Neodiprion lecontei: one gene and its partners. The protein of the gene in region 1 interacts with the protein of each later gene in a pairwise test. Links are inferred from orthologs where the notes say so. Each region holds a gene or a part of one and is shown on either strand. Other genes may lie near its edges.

What was found.
Region 2: the proteins of elongation factor 1-alpha (region 1) and ragulator complex protein LAMTOR5 homolog interact in a two-hybrid assay, tested with the Homo sapiens proteins (2 studies listed by BioGRID and IntAct). The link is inferred for Neodiprion lecontei from reciprocal best matches to the Homo sapiens genes EEF1A1 and LAMTOR5.
Region 3: the proteins of elongation factor 1-alpha (region 1) and 10 kDa heat shock protein, mitochondrial interact in a two-hybrid assay, tested with the Homo sapiens proteins (2 studies listed by BioGRID and IntAct, with this or other methods). The link is inferred for Neodiprion lecontei from reciprocal best matches to the Homo sapiens genes EEF1A1 and HSPE1.

What each region holds. Positions count from the first base shown.
Region 1 is NC_060264.1:21,332,201-21,338,571, reverse strand, and holds elongation factor 1-alpha, read left to right. Parts: upstream 1-1,749; 5' UTR 1,750-1,788; coding exon 1,789-1,932; intron 1,933-2,525; coding exon 2,526-3,134; intron 3,135-3,750; coding exon 3,751-4,026; intron 4,027-4,611; coding exon 4,612-4,968; 3' UTR 4,969-5,539; downstream 5,540-6,371. UniProt on the Homo sapiens protein: Translation elongation factor that catalyzes the GTP-dependent binding of aminoacyl-tRNA (aa-tRNA) to the A-site of ribosomes during the elongation phase of protein synthesis.
Region 2 is NC_060260.1:24,485,727-24,490,642, reverse strand, and holds ragulator complex protein LAMTOR5 homolog, read left to right. Parts: upstream 1-1,827; 5' UTR 1,828-2,172; coding exon 2,173-2,207; intron 2,208-2,573; coding exon 2,574-2,635; intron 2,636-2,746; coding exon 2,747-2,861; intron 2,862-3,070; coding exon 3,071-3,134; 3' UTR 3,135-4,033; downstream 4,034-4,916. Other genes in the region: protein RFT1 homolog, read right to left, coding at 4,034-4,192, 4,312-4,812, 4,898-4,916. UniProt on the Homo sapiens protein: As part of the Ragulator complex it is involved in amino acid sensing and activation of mTORC1, a signaling complex promoting cell growth in response to growth factors, energy levels, and amino acids.
Region 3 is NC_060263.1:38,384,854-38,389,111, forward strand, and holds 10 kDa heat shock protein, mitochondrial, read right to left. Parts: upstream 2,464-4,258; 5' UTR 2,306-2,463; coding exon 2,303-2,305; intron 2,051-2,302; coding exon 1,883-2,050; intron 1,272-1,882; coding exon 1,128-1,271; 3' UTR 880-1,127; downstream 1-879. Other genes in the region: something about silencing protein 10, read left to right, coding at 1-515, 592-681; heat shock protein 60A, read left to right, coding at 3,788-4,205. UniProt on the Homo sapiens protein: Co-chaperonin implicated in mitochondrial protein import and macromolecular assembly. Together with Hsp60, facilitates the correct folding of imported proteins.

The sequences.
Region 1 (6,371 bases):
ATCAGACGGCCCTCCGGCACGATCCAAGCCGCCGATGACTTACAATACACGACTGTAACGCTAGTTGCCTCCCTTAAAAATTTCACGGCGTGGCATTCGTGACACGCCCGCATCTCGCGATCCTTGAGCCCCGGGAATTCGCAGGCATGTATTGCGGTTCAACGAAGAGTAAAAGAAAGTACTGTTATTCTACAAAACAAATGCAAATCCGTAGTTCACGAAAAGCTGGATAAAATCTGTTAAAATGCGTTAGAACAGTCGAATAGCGTCGTTAATTTATGCTACAAAAATCAGACCAGACTAACGAGAACAGTATAAAACTGCACTATTAGTTCAGATAGATCAATCAAGATCTGGCCCTCAAATCTGGAGTAAACAGCCCGGGTCATGCGTGTCATCTCGATAACAATCGCGAAAGACTGCCAAGGAAAAACGGGGAACGACGATTGCGCCCCGGAAGACACTGGCCCCAAACGTCAGCCATGCAGGTGTAGATTGTATGCGCCCGAGGCCAGCGGTAGCGGATACGCACCTGAAGGTTTGAAGGAATCGAAGCCTCGAACCCAAAGCCGTGCCGAGATTAACGTCCAATTCAAAATTTTCCAGAATCGAATGTTGCAGCGAAAAGTGTCGATCAATTGGCCATTTGAGACCACTGTAAATTTCGTAAGGTAAAAACTCCAAATGGTGATAATTTTTAGAAAAATTTAGATCGCGGAAGGAGCGAGGGATCGATAGTCGGCCGTCGCTGGGTTCGAGGCTGCGTCGGTGAAGCCGTGTGCGCATGTCACTTTCCTACAACGATCTCTTTCTGTCGTGGCATCTGGAGGTGAGTGGTCGTACGTGCGTGCTCTCTGTTACCGTTCAGTAATCCGTCGAAATCACAAACAAAGTCCAGCCATCGAGGCTCGGATCAAGGCCAGAACTGAACCTTAAATTCCCGGCGACGTCGCCCTCGGTGTAGTTTAACGAAATATCGCCTACTTCGGTGAAAAAAATGTAACGATCCCGACCGGCTGCTGCTTAGCACCCTCGGCCGCATGCCGACTTCAAACTGTCCCTGTACTAGACACCCGGCGAATTCCGGTACTTCGGGAAATTCGAACCCGATTAAACGCACCCACTTCCTCATCCTTGAGCCCTAGACCTCTATTTCCGTGACATCCAGCCCTCATCGGCTTCTCTGCCTCGTTCATCGCTCCACGTAATGGCGGTGAGTTGTCACCGCAATTCGGGTTCCCTTAGGTCACTGTACAACCTTCTCACTTTCGCATCATTCGTTCATTTATTCAATCTTCCTTCCAGGTGAAGAGCTTCGAAATATACCACAATGCCCGTTTCCTTTCCGAACTCTCGTAACGAATCACTGCGTAGTCTGATACACCTAATCAAATATGTACATATGTTGCAACGTGACGCAATCGCGTATCGACGTATCCTCTCATAGTTTCCAACTATGTTCATCGAACTGCCGTTATATTGTTTGGAAGCAGGACTCGCCGCGTTGTTCCCGGGTCGGTATTTTGCTGCAATGCTTTCTTCCCTTTCTCTGTGATTCTCTGAAGAAATGTCCTCCATCTACAGTTCCAAAATGGCCGCGCGATCCCGTAAATCCCGCAGGGCACAAGCAGCAGTCGGTCTTTTTCCTTCTGAAATCTGGACGCATAACTTTCGGGGTGGCCACGTGGTATAAGTTCATGTTGAAGAGCGGATTTTTTAACGGCTTCTTTTGTTTGCACTGTGTTTCAGCTCTTTTGACGAACTCTTTAGCAACGAAACGACGCAAACATGGGAAAGGAAAAGGTTCACATCAATATCGTTGTCATCGGACACGTAGATTCCGGTAAATCGACCACCACTGGTCACCTTATCTACAAGTGCGGTGGTATCGACAAACGTACCATCGAAAAGTTTGAGAAGGAAGCTCAGGAGGTGAGGTTTCTACTCTGTTTTTTTTGGATTTGCTTTTTCTTGATATGTATACCGAAAATCTTTATACCTGATTCAATAGCTACACGTAACTTAAATTTTTAAATGGAGAGCTCTTTAAGCTTGTTTAATCATATCTCTCAACATATTTTTCCATAAATGAAAGCTTAAATCTACATCAAAACAATGAGCATGTATCTATTTCTGAACACTTTTGAACCCAATTAGTACAAAAGATTGTGATTTTTTTCTTTGGATAATTAATTTGCTTGATGATCGATATATTTCATAAATTATGTAAAATCTGCACTATTTGCCCCAGCAAAAAAAATTCTCGTTAGCAATCTAAGTTTGAATACCAATTGAAATATGTATTGATCAGCAATTCGATATTGTTATAATCTTATGATGTCACTGATAAAAACAATCTGGATTGGCACAGTGATGATAACCCTACAACTTCATTCGCGGTTTCCACCGGAGGACTTGAGAAAGTCCATTGATGGCTGAAGGCGTCTGAGTGTCAAATTAATACCATCTGGAAGTTGAATCAATGGCTGATGAGAGCACAAAATTAATATTCATATTATTTGCAGATGGGTAAAGGTTCCTTCAAATATGCATGGGTCTTGGACAAGCTGAAAGCCGAACGTGAACGTGGTATCACGATTGATATCGCCCTTTGGAAATTTGAAACTGCCAAGTACTATGTGACTATCATCGATGCTCCGGGACACAGAGATTTCATTAAGAACATGATCACTGGTACGTCTCAGGCCGACTGTGCAGTGTTGATTGTGGCTGCTGGTACGGGAGAATTCGAAGCTGGTATTTCCAAGAACGGTCAGACCCGTGAGCACGCACTACTTGCCTTCACCCTCGGCGTCAAGCAGCTCATCGTTGGTGTCAATAAAATGGACTCCACTGAGCCGCCATACTCGGAGGCTCGTTTCGAGGAAATTAAGAAGGAAGTTTCCTCCTATATCAAGAAGATTGGTTACACCCCAGCTGCTGTCGCTTTCGTTCCCATCTCAGGATGGCACGGAGACAACATGCTCGAGCCCTCGAGCAAGATGCCATGGTTCAAGGGATGGGCCGTCGAACGCAAGGAAGGCAAAGCTGATGGAAAGTGTCTCATTGAGGCACTCGATGCCATCCTCCCACCCAGCAGACCTACCGATAAGGCTCTGCGTCTTCCCCTGCAGGTAAATTTTGTCCATTCGCTTCATTCCGTCCATTCAAAATTGAAAAATAACTATTTTGATCAAGAAACTCTGGCAGAGAAATTTCAACCATTGTCAAAAGTTTTGTAAAAAGAAGGTCTTCCTAACTGTTCCTGGGTTTATATATTTACAGGACATCTACTGCTCCTTAAGTGTCCTTAAATTCTACAATTATTCTGGAAAACCAAAAAATGTCCCTGAAGTCCTAGAAAAGTTCTGAGATATTTTGACTTATCCTGGAAAAATTGACGTAATATATTTTTGAATGAAAACTGCGACATTTCATTTGTAATACGTAGCCTTCAATGCGTTAAATTTTAGTAGACCATGCAGTCGTTAAAAAGTCTATCAATCATTAAATTGGATCACATACTTACATTCGAAATTATTGAGATAAATTTTCCAACAATTAAAAAATCTTACAAAATAGAATAATTTAAACTCAAACATATTTTCTATGTTCCAACATGTTTATTATATTCTATTGATCGTCATTTTAATTCGTTTTTCAAAAGAATTGAAGGTGAAATTTCAATGTATATTTCGCTCCATTTTCCATTACTGAAGGTTAACTGATGCTTGTTGAATTTGTTTGCAGGACGTTTACAAGATTGGAGGTATTGGAACGGTGCCCGTAGGCCGTGTAGAAACTGGAGTTCTGAAGCCAGGTACCGTCGTAACCTTTGCTCCAGCAGGTCTCACGACTGAAGTAAAATCCGTCGAGATGCACCACGAGGCTTTGACTGAAGCCGTACCCGGCGACAACGTTGGTTTCAACGTAAAGAACGTTTCCGTCAAGGAACTTCGTCGTGGATACGTTGCCGGTGACTCTAAGAACAATCCGCCCAAGGGCGCCGCCGATTTCACCGCTCAGGTAACCGCAGATTCATTAAATTTCGATAAAAATTGTTATATGTTAATTCATGTACTTTTCGTTTGTGAATTATTCGACACTATGATGAGACGCTTTAATCTTCATTCGCGGTTTCCACCAGAAGACTTGTGGGTCTGTTGATGGCTGAAGCGTCTGAGTGTCTTGAAAATTACGCTCTTCTAATATTAACAGTGTCCTTGATTTTTATTAAATTGAAACCGTGTATAGTAGGTAATTAAATATTCATTAGTCATTCTGAAAAGTTACCGAAACTTTATTTTTCACCATAAGTACTAAGTTTCTCTTTGCTATCTGAAATTCAGCAGAGTTGTAATTCTTTTCATATTTGATTGATACAGTGGTCATTAAAGTTCGTTGGACTATTATCATCAAAATTCATGGAATAACTAGAAGCCGTTTTCTTAAATCATTACAACTGCAATTGAATTTTGTATTTCCGATTTTTCGTGGTTTCGATTATGTAAATTTACGAAAAATATCTTCAAGTTAGCAATTTATCGCAGTAAACTATATGAACAAAATTATTTTCATTGATAACTAATTCTTGCTTATTACGTATTGCAGGTAATCGTGTTGAACCACCCCGGTCAGATCAGCAACGGTTATACGCCAGTGTTGGACTGTCACACGGCACATATAGCGTGCAAGTTCGCCGAGATTAAGGAGAAATGCGACCGACGTACGGGTAAAACGACTGAGGAGAATCCAAAGGCGATAAAGTCGGGAGACGCGGCCATCGTGACTCTGGTGCCGAGCAAGCCGATGTGCGTCGAAGCCTTCCAAGAATTCCCGCCATTGGGGCGCTTCGCTGTGCGTGACATGCGTCAGACTGTCGCTGTCGGTGTTATCAAGGCAGTCAGCTTCAAGGATGCCACAGGCAAAGTCACCAAGGCCGCCGAGAAGGCACAGAAGAAGAAATAACTAGCTACTATAACGGATGACCACCGTGAGGTGGCGCCGCCGCTGCCTCCCTGTCCCGTGTCTCAATTAATTGATTATTATTATTATTATTGCGATAGTAATAAGTCGGCTACTGCCGCTGCTGCTTCTGCTACCCTCATGGTAGTTAACGTTGCTGAGATTATGATATCCATTATTATGATTATTATGACACGGAGGACTGACGTCGCGCCATGCTTATTATTCACGAAACGTTGTTTATTATTTCTTTTACTATCTAAATCCGAATGGCTGATACAGCAGCACTGTTGTTTCCACCGCAAGGAATTTCGCAGGAAAAAATATTACCTATTGTAATAATGTAATAATAACTTTTTAAAGATGGCAACCGAGCAACATGAATTACTATCAGCAAAAAACATAACAACAAGGTAACTAATTGAACAAACTACAAGTGCTGATTAAATTTGTGTTTCTTTTCTTTTTCTTTGTTTTTATTTTTATTTGTAACGAGAAACCATCTGGTTAATTGAATGATTGATTACATTGGTACGGTGAAAATTGAAAATAAAAAAAAAAGATTTTAATTTAATCAAGCAGCAACGACGACGACGATATATCTTCTACCACCACGTGAAATATTACAAACAACAATATCATTGAATTTTAATGACAAGAAAAACAAATATTGTCAAACTTCTCGAAATAGTTGATGAAAAAAAACCGTCTCATTGGCAACTTTATTATTCCGACTTGCATAACGTAATTATTTACTACCTATAATAACTATTATTATTATTATTAATAATACTATATAGCAACAGAAACTTCACCCCTCCTCCTGTTTTCACAACAAACAAAACTAGAAACGAAAAACTTATTAATTATTTAGCTCGGCTTAATTATATTTTCTATCTAATTATTTACGGAAATAAAATCTTATATCGTGCGATATTCGAGAAAATAATGTTATTATTTTGAATTTTTTTTTTTTTTTTAACTAAACTTTGTACGTTGTGTCGCAATTAATGATTTTATTTTTCTCAACGCGAGAATCACGATGCATAATTTTATTTATATTTAAATGTACTTATTCTTATTATTTTAGCCTAATTTTGCTAAGTGAGTATTTAATCAATTTCCGTGGTAGTTGATAAAGAACTTATTTCGCTCAACAAATTGATGTAGGAGATGATTGAATATATATTTTCTAGAGTTGAGGTTTCAAATGGAGGGCTTTCTTGGAAATGAAATCTTGATTTGCTTAATTATATATTATAAATGAAAATTGGTTGAACGGTTGATTTTCAAAAAAAAAAAACGGACATACCATCGATGAGAATAAGAAAATGCAAAAGTGGGAATTGCATCGTGCTGCAGAATTGGATGAATACGAAATACAGCAAGGTAAGTGCGGTCTTAAT
Region 2 (4,916 bases), on another chromosome or scaffold:
TAAGGCTAACCTCTTTGTGTTTTTGGCGAAAATTTTTGCGATTTTGAAAGTGCTGGAACTAATTCTTTGGCGCACTCTATCGACGTGATTTTGCGAGAGAAATCGATTGGGCGCAGTTCCAATACACTGCGATCAACGCATCAAAAGTTACAGCCAAAAAACGAGGACCTGTGTTTTCGACGTTTTTCAGCAGGCGCTTTTTCGCTCGCCATTTATCTCCTGTTGGTCCTACGCTCTTTTCGCTGCGATTTCTGAGTTCCTGAGGGTCCAATTGGTCGGATAAGGGTCATTTAAATCGAATCTGAGACCAAAAGTTTTTTGCCCAAAAAAAAAGTAAGGCTAACCCCTTTGTGTTTTTGGCGAAAATTTTCGCGATTTTGAAGAGTGCTGGAATCAATTAATTGTAGCACTGACCGGACGCAATTTTGCGAGAGAAATCGATTGGACGCAGTCCCAATACGCTGCGATCAACGCATCAAAAGTTACAGCCAAAAAACCGGAACCTGAATTTTCGACATTTTCCAGCAGGTGCTTTTTCGCTCGACATTTCTCTCCTGTTGGTCCTACGCTCTCTTCGCTGCGATTTCTGAGTTCCTGAGGGTCCGATTGGTCAGATAAGGGTCATTTAAATCGAATCTGAGACCGAAAGTTTTTTGCCCAAAAAAAAAGTAAGGCTAACCCCTTTGTGTTTTTGGCGAAAATTTTCGCGATTTTGAAAAGTGCTGGAATCAATTAATTGTAGCACTGATCGGACGTAATTTTGCGAGAGAAATCGATTGGACGCAGTCCCAATACGCTGCGATCAACGCATCAAAAGTTACAGCCAAAAAACCCGAACCTGAATTTTCGACATTTTCCAGCAGGTGCTTTTTCGCTTGCCATTTCTCTTCTGTTTGTCCTACGCTCTCTTCGCTGCGATTTCTGAGTTCCTGAGGGTCCGATTGGTCAGATAAGGGTCATTTAAATCGAATCCGAGACCGAAAGTTTTTTGCCCAAAAAAAAAGTAAGGCTAACCCCTTTGTGTTTTTGGCGAAAATTTTTGCGATTTTGAAAGTGCTGGAACTAATTCTTTGGCGCACTCTATCGACGTGATTTTGCGAGAGAAATCGATTGGGCGCAGTTCCAATACACTGCGATCAACGCATCAAAAGTTACAGCCAAAAAACGAGGACCTGTGTTTTCGACGTTTTTCAGCAGGCGCTTTTTCGCTCGCCATTTATCTCCTGTTGGTCCTACGCTCTTTTCGCTGCGATTTCTGAGTTCCTGAGGGTCCAATTGGTCGGATAAGGGTCATTTAAATCGAATCTGAGACCAAAAGTTTTCTGCTCAAAAAAAAGCAAGGCTCACCCCTTTCCATCTTTGGCGAAAATTTTTGCGATTTTGAAAAGTGCTGGAACCAATTCTTTGGCGCACTGTATCGACGTGATTTTGCGAGAGAAACCGATTGGGCGCAGTTCCAATACACTGCGATCAACGCATCAAAAGCTACAGCCAAAAATCGAGAACCCGTGTTTTCGACGTTTTTCAGCAGGTGCATTTTCCCTCGCCTTTTCTTCCACATTTCACCGACTCAATCCCAAGCTTCCATATAGACACTACTTTGGCTGCTAGGAATGTCGGTATGAGCCCGTTAGATAGAGTCGATAGAGCAGAACCCTCCTACGCTCTCATGCCCACTGGGCCCACTAGCCCGCCAAAAGCTGATCACAAAAATTTACCCAGGGTCATTTAATTTACCCGTCTTAATATTTTTCAGTCAAGAGTAGGGACTTCTCCACAATTTCAAATACCATAACATCTGATTTGACTTTAACGTTACAATTGGTATTTCCGGTCAGGCTGTCAGACAAGAGGGGACATTTGACAAATTAATAAATATATAATTTCAGTGTTTTCAGTGAACGACCAATATACAATATATCAATTTAAGTATGCATCAAGATCAAAAGTAAAAAAATAAACAATCAAAGAGTTCGTACAACAGCGGGTCGTCGTGAAGAAGGAAGAACTATGAGTGCGTTCACGTGAAAGAAAAATAACCACACTGGTTAATAACCAGTTGTTTTATGCCAGTCACTGTAAATCTATTCGTAGTTTTGTTTCGATTATAGCAGTTTATTGCTTATAATTTCACACACTACTTACGAACCGCGATTTTGTTGGAGCCTCAGAATGGAACGTAACTTAGAGAAAACTATGGATAACGTGTAAGTTATCGAAATAAGACAAAATTCATAGATTTCACGTTACGACGCGCCTATTTCAAACAATTTAAAATACGCTAATTTTCTCATGAATTTTTTTTCCACGCAATTGATTGACTGCTTTGGAAATTCATAACAATGCCCACGTAATTTTATTGTTGCTTAGAAAGTATGAACCAATTTTCTTGAAGGCTTCATACTCAGACTTGATAAATAATGTTAAATAGTAGCCGCATTCATAACCTTCACTAACATCAATTCTGACACAACTCATTTTTCTCCTTTGATGAAGAACTGAAAAGGGTAAAATATACCAGAATTGACGTAGGTACAAATTCTGAATGTTATTTAATAATGACATATTTACAGGACGAATGTCGAAGGAGTCATAGGATGCATTTTGGCCGATCGTCAAGGCCTCTGCTTAGGAGGTAACCTATAACTAATTAATAATCAATGTTTACTATTTTTGATTCTATGTTTGCATGAATTTCCAAATGTCATACTTGTCAAAGCTCAAAAGATATGTATTTAATTTTCAGCTAAGGGGAGTGCATCTGGGCAAAGCGCTGGGTTGATAGCAGCCATTGCTGATGAGGTAGCAAAATTAGAGCCTGAATCAAACGCACCCATTATTGCTTTAGAAAGTGACAATCGGTATGTATGTGCACATTTCAACTTGCTTATACTAAGGAAATATGTAATTAAATCTGAAGTAATATGTGTTCTCATTTGTTTACTTCGGTTCAATGCCCATCATTTTATTGGAGCTCATTCTTTATTCACAATGATTATTTTATGCAAATTTGAGAATAACTCCAAGTCAGAATTGCTGTGCAACTTGAATTCTTCAATAACGATTTCAGGCAATGCATAATCCAGCGTCAGGGGCCTATAGTTGGTGCTATCTACAAAGCTATATCACCCTGAAATCTGAAATCGACGTTGAGACTTAACAATGGATTTGTACATGAATTAAAATTGATTCTTTATGTTTAACAATATCTACTTGAAATACGGCTCAATAATGAGTGTTCGTTCTACGTTTGCTGTAATACTATATTTTGTTCAGATTAAAGATTATATTCTTTGTTTATAATAGACAAAATCTTATCTTCTAAAATTCCATCAATCATCACTTGCACAGTTCCATGACTATATACACTCGTAAAATCATGTCCAAAATGAGAGTAATGAAATACATAATCCAATTTAGTTGGGTGCATTTCAAGTCAAGATTTGATCATTCCTAACATTACTTCTTCTCAATTGTACAAGGTGATACTAGTTTAGTTATTCTTTTGAATTTAAGTCTGCCCTTGGAATTTTTTTATTTCTAACATTAGACTTGATTCTCTGAAAATGGAACTATTTTCTTCAAGCTTAACTCGAGTTTTGTTTTTCACCAGAAAACCTGATTAAGCCAGGTGCGTATCAAATTTGCTTTGTCACTTGTTTCTTTGCTTTAGGCTCTCACACTAAAACTCTGCAAGTATACGCGTTTTCACACTGCCACGAGAGAATAACCTTCTATTAAAATTGTTTTGTTGTCTGAATTACAATTATTAATAAATAATAAGGAATTCTTAAGAGTATAATTGCACACTTTTAAGCGTCCGATTTTTGTGAAATTAAGTTTGAGATAAAAGTGAGAAAAAAAATTCAAATGGCTTTGAATGTAAAATATTGTGTCCGGAAATAATGTCACATTAATGAACCAAGTCATGAGGACAGTTGTCATTTTTACTATTAACATATTGTCTTGTGTAACTATATTATAAATAATCTTTATACAGTCATATTACAAACAATAAATAAGGACTCATTGGTCAATCATCTTTTTTATGTTTGTTTCGCCTATCGCGCCATTTGTTTACACCGAGTTGAACCAGGTCTTGATGTTCATAAACCCAGGAAGCCATCACCAGTCCAAACATTACGATACCGATGAACAGATGGATTAATTTTTCGCTCGGAAAAAAGTATGCCTAAAAAGAATGGAAAATATAAATTTAGTTTTGCCGTGTTTATTTCTCTACCATTTCGCAGCAGTAGAAACTTTTGATGATTTCAAGATTTTATCAAGTATTAATACTGTTATTCTTACCTGTGACACTTTTGTAATAACAGCTGCTAGTATTAAAGATGCAAGGAATATTGGTTTAGGTACGAGTCCTAATAATGGTCTATATTTGGTATTTTCGTGTCTTCTTTTTATAAATTTGGTTGAATGCAAAATTCTCAAAGCCATGTTAACGCAGTTTCCAAAAATGAAACCAACGGGCCCAAACCAAGATGCAAAAAAATATGACACTACTAGGAATGCTACAGACTCATATATCATAATATAATTATTCCGGTCAATGGTTTTACTGTCTGCTGTCGCATTTGTATAACATTCTGTAACTCCATTTATTCCTAACAGTAATACTGCAAGACAATGCGATCTCAGTAATAAAACTGGTAAATAGGCTGTCAACTTTGGCCCTCCATATAACCAGAGTAAAAGTGAGGAATAAGATTGGCCAAAAACTAGAACAATCAATCCAATTGATGTTACAACTGAGCATAGCTGTGTTAAAACATTAACACTCTCTTGCACCTTCACCTGCAATTCAAAGATAAGGATTATCAGAAATTCTGACTTGGTACTGAGCAAACAAAGAAGTGAGTAACTAATTAGTTTTACTTGCCACGTTTTGATCAGGTATC
Region 3 (4,258 bases), on another chromosome or scaffold:
TATATTATTTGATGCTGAAAGCAGATAGAGTACCTGTTAATTCGCATCCAGTTATCAAAAGGTTAGCACAGTACCGCCAGCTCCTTAATCAGTTAAAATCTGGACAAGGAGAATTGTTAGAAGAAGCTGTTGAAATATTGAAAGCTGCTGAAAACAACCAATCGCTTTACAATCTGGACAATGTTGAATTTGATAAAAAGAGCCGAAAGAGGCCATCCGCTGTTTTACCTGATGAGCAGATAAAAACTGGCAAGAGAAACTTTGTTGAAACTGTTCAGGATGAAAAACCAATTGAACAGACGGAGGATGAAAATTCTGAGGTGAATGAAAACGCTGACGAGACTGAGAACCAGGGTACTGAAGTTATGTTTGAAGATGTTGATGGCAAGCGAGCCATTACTCGCCAAATTGCAAAGAATAAGGGACTGACCCCGCACCGTCGGAAGGATCTACGCAACCCAAGAGTTAAACTCAGGAACAAGTATCGCAAGGCTAAAATTCGAAGAAAGGGAGCGGTGCGTATTTGTAGTTTTATTTATATTTTTTAGCACTTAAGCTGTATTACTCAATAATTGAAATTGCTTGTTTCAGGTGAGAGAAGTCAGAAAGGAGGAGACACGCTATGGTGGAGAGACCTTTGGAATCAATGCTCGCGTTAAGAAGAGCATTAAGTTGAAGTGAAAGTAAAAATTAACAATCATTCAAAGAAAACATGTACAAAATAAATTCTAACTTGAGTTTTGGATGTAATATCACATTTGAGACATGCGCAAAAATATTTCTCATAGTACATGTATGAAATATACCGAAATTAATTAATTGGTGGTATACAGGTCTTGATTGGAAATATTTAATGAAGACGAAAAATGCGATAAAAAATAATTGTTAAACAAATATTTTTATTCGTTACGCAACGTTGTGTATGAAATAATGACACCTACGCACTAGCAGACTTACAGAGAAATAAACATAACCTTCAATTAATTCTAATTAACAATTATTAGTTGCATTCTATAAACACGGATGATGGCTGTGTTCGTATTTGGTATGTCACAATGAGATTATGGACATTCTACCACAAATATTCAGTTTCTGGCATTCATCGAATGTTGGAATTTACAACAGCATTAAGATTCCAATTTAGCAAGGATATCAGATTCACGGAATAGGTGGAACTCCTTATTCTCTTCAAGCTCAACTTTCGTTCCACCATATTCTGGTAGCAGCACAACATCTCCGACTTTGACACTCAAAGGCATGTGTTCTCCCTTCTGTAATCAGAAAAAAACATGGTTTCGATCAAATCAATTAGATATAATTTTTTTTATTAATACATTATTATTTCTATTCTATTATTATAGAGCCAGCATATTGGATCTTGTAGTACTGTGTAAGCATTAGAATCACCGTTAAAATCAAGGACTTCAAATGAATTGAATTTCAAACGTATGCTGTCGAAATAGCAAGAATTATATTGTTCAAGTTACTACTTCATATCACTTCCGGGACATATTTCCACCAAATACTCAAACATGATTAAACATAATTGTTGCAAAAAATTTATTAGAAAAAATGATTGAGTAAGATAAACCAATTTTCGTTTCAATGTGGTGTATATGAATGTTCAGCTGATTTCCAATCAAATAAAACATGCCACCAACTAATATCAAATAAAATTTAATTTTACTAATTATATTTGATGAGTTATTTCAAAATTAAAATGTGGAAGAACGAAGTGACCATTTACATGGAAGCATGACTCCACTGAGCCTAGCAGGAGCGGTTAGAATAGAGTTGAATGGTCGCAAAGACTTTCAATCTATCTTGTATTTGAAGTCACTCTAGTGTTTGAATAGAAGCAGCGACTACGAATGAAACTTACATTGTTCCTAGATCCAGGACCTATTGCAACAACAGTGCCTTTGAGTACTTTGGCTTGAGCTTTTTCTGGGATAACAATGCCACCCTTTGTTTTAGTCACAGCTTCGGCCCTCTGTATCAATACTCGATCAAAAAGTGGGATCAACCTCTTAGCTGCAGCGGCGACGGCCTGTGAAATAGGTTAAAAATATTTGAGATGATGAACATCATGCTACCCGCGAGAATACACGTGATTTCTCATCAACTTGTGAGTGTGCTTGAAACGGCAACAAGAAATTAATACTTTAGGGAAATATTTTAATATGCATGTCAGTCACATGGGTATTCAGCTGTAATTTATTTGCTCTTTAAATGATGGATTTATATCGTTCCCGTAGAATTATGTGGCACCGCGATTGAGTCGGTCCAGAGAGATACGTACCATTTTGAGGAATTATCTTAACTGGCGCGTGTGACGAGTTGATCGGGGAGCTTGAACCTTAGCCGGCAAACGCACACGTTGTGTAACCTATTTGTCGAGAGTCGGAATGGGCCTCCCGTGGTTGAATTTTCTCGAAGCTTCGTTGTTCCGCCCGCCCCACCAAAACAAATTCAGCGATCAATTTTTCCCCTCCGAAATGATAAACGCGCCTTACGTAACGCGAGGTTCCCGAGATTCGGTTGCCGATGACGGATTTTCATTGTTGCGTTCGCGTCGCTGCATTGTTGGGAGAGGCGCCACCATGCGGCGAGAATGGGAAGTCGATTGTTATATCGATCGTCTGCTTGGGAGATTCTAGAAATAATCAACAAATGATAAAATCAATTTGTAAATAATTTATTGGTCAATAGTATTTCCGATTACAGGAATATCATCCAACGTTTTACCGTCATCAATTTTTTATTTAAGACAACATTGCCAACTTCATTGATGCATGATTTTAGATCTCTAGTTTATTGCATCATCTATAATCTCGTAACTTCTAGAAAACACATGGACCGGCGATTAACTTTGCCGGATAAAATCCGTATGTAAAGGAAATTAAGGTATCTAATGATCGTTCCGGTTTCTAAAATAATTAAAACATCTTGTGAAGAATAGTATTTTACCAATCATATTAAATGAACTGTGAGTTTTTACGAATTTAACAAAAGATCGTTGGCCGAGAGGGGAAGTAAGCAGCGAGTTGGTGGGGATAGCAGGCCATGTGATATCGCAGACCTCCTAGCTGTTCTCATTCCATTCAGGGAGCAACGCGCGGTTCTTTGCGGCGACAACGATTCTCGATTTATATTCACATTTTTCTTCCTTTCGCATCTAACGTTTTCAATCGCAACACTTACGAAGGTAATCGAGTCTATTGTTATTTCACAATTCTATTATATTCCTTAATTATTCCACTGCCAATCCTAAGATCGTACGGCTTGTCTAACTTGATAAAAGATTGCTATGCACGCGGCATTCGGCAAATTATTAGATGAACTAACAAATTTTACCATTAAATACTTTTTCGATACAAAATCCAATGCGGTTTAAATCATTTTCGTATATAATTTTTAATATTTTTCTTTTTTCATCACTGTACACACCCTGTTATTCTGGTAAAATTTTTACATAACCAAGTTCGGCGTTTCTCCTCTTCAGACATGGTCTAACCGCGCTTCAACGTTTCTCATATCATAATCTAACCTGTTTCATTGCTTTAGTTTCATGTCATCATTTAATCATTTATATCACAACTTTTAATCCCTTCATTTGTATTTTAAACAGCAATAGATTGATTCGAACATTAGATACTTGCCCTGAATTAATTATATTTAAGTGTATCATGCATTGGATTTTTATTTTACACCTAATTCTGCCATACAGCTAAAAAGGAAAAACACCAACAACTGAAGAATTATTCATTTCAATTCAATTTCACAGATGTACAGACTACCGAATATGTTACGAGGCGTAGCCCTGCGCCAGCTGAATCTCCACTCTAGATCTTATGCCAAAGATGTTCGTTTCGGGCCCGAAGTTCGAGCTTTGATGCTGCAGGGTGTGGATATACTAGCTGACGCGGTAGCTGTAACAATGGGCCCTAAAGGTCGTAATGTTATTTTGGAACAGAGTTGGGGAAGCCCTAAAATCACCAAGGATGGAGTAACAGTAGCCAAAGGAATAGAGCTCAAAGACAAGTTTCAAAACATTGGAGCAAAGCTAGTACAAGACGTTGCCAACAATACTAATGAAGAGGCTGGGGATGGTACGACAACCGCAACTGTTTTGGCCAGAGCAATCGCCAAAGAAGGTTTTGAGAAAATCAGCAAAGGTGCTAACCCTGTTGAAATTAGACGCGGTATGTATTTAGTCACCCTTTTGTGACGCTTTGAAATAGATAATAAATATGAA